Linked DNA regions of Tribolium castaneum. The protein of the gene in region 1 interacts with the protein of each later gene in a pairwise test. Links are inferred from orthologs where the notes say so. Each region holds a gene or a part of one and is shown on either strand. Other genes may lie near its edges.

Region 1 (3,881 bases):
GAGGATCGTAATGTCGCAAAATACGAAGTCGTGGCCAAATACCAGGGCAAATTGTTTGTGTGTGAACAAGACCACAGCCCGTTTGACGTGGTGGCCTGGCACGGTAATTACGTGCCGTATAAGTACGACCTTGCCCGCTTTAATGTCATCAATTCGGTGTCTTTCGACCACTGTGACCCCTCGATTTTCACCGTCCTGACGTGTCAGTCTGAGAAAAAGGGCACGGCAATTGCCGATTTCGTGATTTTCCCGCCGCGTTGGTCCGTTCAGGAACATACGTTCAGGCCGCCTTACTACCACAGGAATTGCATGTCCGAGTTTATGGGGCTTATTTTCGGGGAGTATGAGGCGAAGAGAGGGAGTTTTAGGCCAGGAGGGGCCACTTTGCACAGTATTATGACTCCGCACGGGCCCGATTTTAATTGTTTTGAGGCGGCAAGTGTCGAGGTTTTGAAGCCGGCCAGAGTGGCTGATGGGACCCAGGCCTTCATGTTTGAGAGTTGTTTGGGGTTGGCTGTCACCAAGTGGGGGGCTAAGACGTGCCAGAAGCTGGACCCGGAGTACTACCAGTGCTGGCAAGGGCTCAAGAGCCACTTTACCGGCCCGAAATGAGATTTTTCAATAAATTACTACGTTTACAATTCGTGTTTTTGTAAATAAGCCTTTTTAATCCTGATTTATAAATCAGGAATTGAAGATAATTTTTTATGCAATTTCTATTCGACCTGTGTCATAAAATTTTTTTAATGAAACTTGGCGGAAATGTTGACTGTTAGCGGGTAATAAATGATTAAAATTCGAACGATTGTAAATAAAACAAGTGTTCTGGACAAAGTATTTATTTATTTGTAAAAAATGTTTAAAATATTGTGGATAACATAATGTTTCAGTTTGATAAACACAAATGGTCACACTTTCACTTAATTACTTCAGTAAAGGAAACGAGAACGTGGTATGCTTACAGGTAACACTAAAACTAAACATAAATAAAAAAACTAGACTAATTCGCTGGAGTTTCCATATCGGCCTGTTGCTCGGGCTCCTCATCGTTATAAATATTCTCGGCCATTTGCCACACTTGCATAATATTATCCTCAGACACGGAACAAATAACCCACGGTTCGTTGGGATTCCAACTAAAATCTAAGGAAAAAAAATTAAACGCTAATTACACTTTGATAAAAATTACGAAAACGTTAAGTAAATACGACTAAAGATTATTTACACAAAAAAAAAAAAATATCAAAAAAGATTATTAATTTACCTGAAATTTTGGCCGTGTGGCCCCCATGTATGAAGAGGAGCTCCGGAGGCCCATCCTCTGCATCCTCCGGACTTTGCTCCTCTCCGATTTTGCTCAAATCCCAGACATGCAGCCTGCGATCGGTCCCCGACGACGCCAGAATAGTCTCATTATGGGGGCTCCACTGCACTTGGAAAATCTCATCCTTGTGCGACTCAAAACTGTGCAATTTCAACTTAAGATTCCTCAAATCCCACAAAGCTACAGTCTTATCAGCGCTCCCAGTTGCAAGAATAAACTCCGAATAGGGGTTGAAACTGAGACAGTTAACCTCAGCAGTGTGTGCATCGACAGTGTGCGACGGTTTGCTCGTATTGTTACACCTAGTGTCCCAAATCATCAATTTCTGGTCGTCTGCGACCGAACCGAAGAGACTTTCGTGCAGAAGGTGCCAGGCGACGTCCTCCACCACGGCAGTGTGCCCCGTAAAAATGGTCTTCGCGTCTATAATTCGGTTCTCTTTCGGGGTCGCGTTAATGTCCCAGAGACAGATCGTGTGGTCATCGCTGGCCGAGAGCAAATAGCCGTTCAAGTTGGGGTTCCAGGACAGCCCGTAGCCCTCCTTCTGGTGCCCCCGGAGTCTCAGGTCCGGGTGGCACTCCCCGTTGGGGTCAGGCTTGCTGGGGTGCTTCGTATAGTCGAACACTAGCACGTCGCTTGAGGGGGTTTTTGTGGCTATAACGCACGGGTTCTGGGGCATGTAGCGAGCCCTGTTCACCTCTCCTTCGTGGTTGATTTTAATTTCAATCTCAATTTTCCCCGAAACTGAGCCAAAACCGCCAAACTCGCCCTTTTCGTTATCATAGTGCGAGGCATCGAACTGAGCGTCTTCGTTCGGGAGCTGGACGCTGGCGATCAGGAGGTGGTTTTGCTCGTCGGAGGTGTGAGTGCCGAGGATTAGGCGGTGGATGGAGTGGTCTTTGCCCTCGGGGCGCGTTACATCGGGCAGCCACTGGGCGGTTAAAGAGGGCCACTCGAGGGCATGTGTCATTACAAGGTCGTACAAAAAAGGGGTGTTTTTTTTCCAGATCTTGTACTCTTCGTTGATGACTCGCTCCTCGACCGCGTCGTCGAAGGTTTCTGTGTAAGATTTTTTGTGCAGTTGACCGGGTTTTAAGGTTACGTTCGCAAAGTTACAAAAAAAGCGTGATTTTGGCGAGGCAAACTAGAAAATACTTACCGGAGTCTCCCTTATCCCCCATTGTTACAACGAACACAAACGAATAATGTTAAAATTGATAAATTCAAGTAAAAATGAATGAGCCGTCCACTAAATATGACGCTAGCCCGCCAATTTGGAACAGTGGTGCCACAACGCCACAAGTCAGCAGATTCAAATTAAGCAAACCGTGGCCAAAATTTTGGCGGTGGTACGTTTTGATTTAGCTAACTCGATGCTTCATAGTCATGGTATTCCAATGTTTTATTAAAAAAATAGAAGGAAAAAATATATAATTGAGAGCCAACGTGGCAACAGGGAGTAAAAATTATGCGACTGAAAGCGATGAGCACGATTGTGTGTTGAACCGAAAACTTTAAAATTCACAATTGAATTAATTTTCAGTGATTTTTTTTAATATAACTTATAATCAGGTTGTAGAAAAAATAGAGTATGCAGCTTGAGTCTGGTTCACTAATTTTTCAGCTCAAGTTAACACTTTAGGATTTATTAAATAATGCACGTTTACTTACAGAGGTGGAGGTTAAAAAAAAACTCAGGTAACTTAAGAGGGTTTATTCAACGAAATATAAATGGAATCTCGGGCAAGATCACAATATTGAAGATAATCATTAAGGCACAAACTTTCAAAATTTAAAAAAGGGTTACTCAATATTAAAAAAATAATTAATTGCACCTAAAACGTAAAAATAAATAAAAATAAGAGCAATGTAAAAATGAATTAAGTAACTTGAGGAACAGGGCGATAAAAATTTATTTCGAAAAATTTGGGTAAAAAACTACGAACTCGAAGCTACACTAATATTACTAACACTCGTGGCGCGACTGCTCGGCCTCAAATCCACGTCTCTTTTAAAAACAGCGAACCCTTGATTAACCAATTCTTGTGCGATATCGACGTCCTTTTCACCGTTCACATCGAACAAATCAACACCGGGGACCGGAGAGCCCTCGCGCTTCGCCCTCGTCTTCTCCCTAACACAATATCCGTTAATTTTCGCCGACAGTTTCTTCCACTGCGCCACATGTGTCCACTCTTCGAATTTATCCACGGCTTCCACCGACCAACTCTCTCCCACGGGATCTAAAAACCCACTTACCCACCAAACGCCCAAAAAAATAAATAAATAATCGTACCAACTCGTGCTAGAAAACACTCAATTGCTTGAAAATGCAGTCGGAGGAAATCGGTCCTCAACTCGTACAATTCCTCAACGGGGACCAAATCCGTGTCCCCGTAATCAACATAGTAGAGTTCAGCTTGGGGCGGGTTATCGTCACTCAGACTGAGCACTTCAGCCCGGTACCATTTGCTGTCGTATTGGAACACAGCAGCGACAAGATCGCCTTTAGTCACTTTATTCAAAATGTGGGATTCGCGATTTTCCTGCTTGCGGT
Region 2 (3,721 bases), on another chromosome or scaffold:
AATTTTTTATTCTTATGTTTTTCGTTAGTATTGTTTCTGCACTTAACATTTAAAAACAAAATATTTGGAAAAATATTCTCTAAAAATTTTTTACGTGATATAATTAGGTTTTAAATATTTATGAAATTTCTATTTTTTGTGGTGGCGCCATCTCTAACTTTGCTGACGTCAGAACAAGTAAAACAAAGACAGAGTTAATCATTCCGTTTTGTTTCGGTCATAAAATGAATAAAAAACAGCGCAAATTAATCATTTATTCACGTTTTCACCAATTTCTCATATAAATCCACCATTTCCAGCAATTAAAAACAATTGAAAATGCAAAAAAAACAGCCGCCAACCTCTAAAAAACTGTTAGGCCAAAATCTAGTGTGTTTGAAAATTTTTATTTTTTGTGGTATTTAATGTAGTGGCGCCCTCTAGGTGAAACAAACGGCACAAAACCGTCTGGGGGACTTAGGTGGGAAGGTTGGCAGCGCAAACAGCGGGCGTTTTAAACAGGTGATAAAACTTTTAGTTGTTAAAAAAAATTAACTTAAGAGTTGTTCTGAACCAGAAAGTACTCGACGGATTTCAGTTTTAGTTGGCAGTACTGAATTTTCTGCCAACAAGCCAAGGATAAAAAATAGAAACAAACACTAGTAGAAAAACCTTTATTAGTGAAAATTTAATGAAAAATGCAAAAATGAGAATAAATAAACAGGTCACTTCTTGACCAACAGTGCCCTCAACCGATTCACAGGCCACTCCAAACTATCCACATATTTATTATACTCTGCATCAATAGCTGCCTTTTTGTCGATAGGTTCGGTCACAATTCCGGCCCGCTCCAAGTTACACAATCTCTTACTGCCCCGAGTCTCCTTCTACGAAAAAAACCCCAACTGTGAAAAAACCTAGGGACTTTTGCGCCTCACCTCAATCTCGTTGGCAATCCTGCTCCGAATCCCCTCCGTGAACTTGACATACTCCTTATACCCGTTTTTATGCGCAGTCAGACATTCTAAAATATCAAAAACGCGCTGCGCTTGTCGTTTCCCAATCTTATGTTTCTTCAAAAACTCGTTAATTTGCTTCAGGTTTTGTGTCGTGATGTTGATCCCTTTGCCCTCCAAATCCTCATAAATGTGCAAGCTGTCGCAAAAATCGCGTATTTTCTGGAACACCTCGGTCGGTTCTTCCACTAAAAACAAACAGTCGTACCAACTGGGCCATTACTACGTTACAGGAACCTGTAATATCGCCCGAGTCGGGCATTTGTTTCAAGTAATTGTAAACAGCTTTGTACAAATTCGTGCCGATTCCGCGCTTCTGGTGCGTGGGGAGCACGAAAAATTGGCTAATTCGGGGGCGCGTTAAGTTGGGGTAGAGGAAGAATTTGTAAACGGTGCAAAAACCGACTGGGGTGAAGTGCGACTCGGGGCCCTCTTCATAGACGTAGAAGATCACCCAGCGGGGGTCCTCCAGGTCTATGAAGTTGGCGCCGTCGATGAACCACACGATTAGCGTCTCGAAACGTTGGTGGAACTGGCGGAAGTCGGGGTTTTTCAGGTCGCAAACTGTCACTTTATACACATCTGGAAAAATCTAATTTGGTTTTTTGGACCGGGGGACTATAGATTAGGAGACGAAACGAGAGTTAAAATCGTGCATTATTATTATTACTAGTATTATTATTACTGGTACTGGCAATTTTTTATTGTTTTCATTATTGTCTTTAACTTTTCAATTTAAAACTCTGTTGCAATTCTACTAAAGACCGATTATACCGTTAAAAAAATAAACTGCGCCATCTGGTGACACTAATAAAAGTGCCCAAAATCGGGACATTTTATTTGTACGTCATTTCGCATCCTAACCTATACCAAACCGTATTTGGCCCAAATTCGGGGCAATTACTTTCAGAATCGGTGGAAAACGTGTCGATCACGTCCCCGAACATCAGACCGGGCTTTTCCTCGTCCAAATCGGCGAGAAAATCGCTCTTTTCAGTCCGGTAGTTTTCCGGCAGCCAGGGATTTAGCGCTTTCATGATATCATCGGCGTTTTCGTGTATTTTCCCCCCGGTTTGCACCTCAACGTAACACTTGGCCGAATTGTGCAAATAAAACAAATTTATGGCCAGTTTTTTGTACCCAAAAATCATCTCTCTGAAAAGTGAGGTTAGGTCTCTCCAACTCACTAAAACACCAAATTTACGTCTCCCCGAATATCTGGTGGGCCATGTCGGGCTTAAACGAGCTGCCCTTCCTCGGGGGGTCCTCCAGATCCTGCTTGTCTCGCACTGTAACCGCAATTAACGAAAAAAGCGCCAAAATTAAGGGGGCCCTCACCGGTCCGGAACGTGATCACGTTGAGGCTCAGCTTCTTGTACAAGACCATTTCGTCGTCTTCGCAGTTCGAGGAAACATCACTGTCTCCGTTTAGGTTGTTTTTAGCCATCTCGAATTTTTTGCCGTTTTTTTTCCGACAAAAAGTGACTGTGCCGTGATAAGAGGCGGCGTAAATGATACGTGACCACAAATTTCGAAATTGAAAACACTTAAAACAATTTTGAGGGCCTTTGGGGCCACATAACCGAACACAAGTTAACTGTGGTCAAGTCGGCTGGCGCGCGATTTTTTGCGCATGTCACGTAATGTGGCGGGAAATTTGAAAAAACCAGTGGCGTGTCGTGAGGAGGGGCGAAACGACGTTTCCATTCGTAAAGTGTAAAAATAAGCAGATTGGACTTTATTCAATCAATACATCTGCATATAAAAACGTACAATACTACAGGAAGTAACTACATGGTGAATACTTGCAAAGATATAACGCGATTTGCTTTACAATAAACACTTTAATAATAATATGATACATATTTGTCTCTTATGAAGAGCATGTACAATTTGAATAATTCTCATAAAAACGAAAAAAATGCAAATGATTTCGAAAATATCTCTATAACAAATATTTGCACTGCTTTATTTACAATAGAATTTCATATAACAAGTCACTGGGTTGTACTTGACATCAAAAAAGTAACATAACTACCAATTCAGTAACAAAAGTACAGTTAAAATTAGTAACTAGTCTAACCAGTCATGTTACAATCAAGTGAACTAGACTCTGCAACAGTACAAAAAGAAATTACTTAAATTATGATTATATTACAAATTATGTCAACTGAACCTAGCACGTAAGCTTCGAATTCTGTATTTTTAAATACATTACAATACTAAAAAAGCAACAACTGTATTGACGTATCTCACATGTAATGTAATGACAATCACAGACCTCGTAATACAAAATCCCAAGCTTTATCAAAAAAATGAACCGAAAAAAAAATTATCTCTTATGCCTGTCTCTAACCCTCTCCATGTCCACCCACTCGGGATCGTTCGGGTCCTCTTCGCCCAGCGCCGACTCGGTGGACTCGCTCCCGGGCGAGTCCACCTTCTCGTCCAAATAATCACAATCCTGCGCGCGATAATTCGTCTTAAACTGGTGATTTTCCGGCATACTTTTAAGCATCTTCTCGTACGTTTCGTCGTCCAATGGAAACGTTCGTGTGTCAAACGGCGCCACTTCGACATTTTCCGGCGTATTGTTCTCCTCTCGTGCCACAGTCGTCGGAACGACACGTGACTGCGAAATCGTCCGACGACGCATCGCACTGATGGAGGGGAGCTCTTCGGGAAGGGGCGTGGCTGGAGGTGACGTCAACGGCGATTCGGCCGTT

What was found.
Region 2: the proteins of Caf1-55 (region 1) and Hat1 interact in a two-hybrid assay, tested with the Caenorhabditis elegans proteins (4 studies listed by BioGRID). The link is inferred for Tribolium castaneum from reciprocal best matches to the Caenorhabditis elegans genes lin-53 and hat-1.

Annotation. Positions count from the first base shown.
Region 1 is NC_087399.1:662,013-665,893, forward strand, and holds Caf1-55 (histone-binding protein RBBP4), read right to left. Parts: upstream 2,644-3,881; 5' UTR 2,506-2,643; coding exon 2,484-2,505; intron 2,384-2,483; coding exon 1,265-2,383; intron 1,144-1,264; coding exon 1,001-1,143; 3' UTR 824-1,000; downstream 1-823. Other genes in the region: hgo (homogentisate 1,2-dioxygenase), read left to right, coding at 1-612; tudor and KH domain-containing protein homolog, read right to left, coding at 3,263-3,567, 3,621-3,881. UniProt on the Caenorhabditis elegans protein: Core histone-binding subunit that may target chromatin assembly factors, chromatin remodeling factors and histone deacetylases to their histone substrates in a manner that is regulated by nucleosomal DNA.
Region 2 is NC_087400.1:2,897,989-2,901,709, reverse strand, and holds Hat1 (histone acetyltransferase type B catalytic subunit), read right to left. Parts: upstream 2,610-3,721; 5' UTR 2,443-2,609; coding exon 2,334-2,442; intron 2,285-2,333; coding exon 2,200-2,284; intron 2,151-2,199; coding exon 1,900-2,150; intron 1,578-1,899; coding exon 1,233-1,577; intron 1,184-1,232; coding exon 918-1,183; intron 867-917; coding exon 705-866; 3' UTR 640-704; downstream 1-639. Other genes in the region: nsl1 (KAT8 regulatory NSL complex subunit 1), read right to left, coding at 3,328-3,721.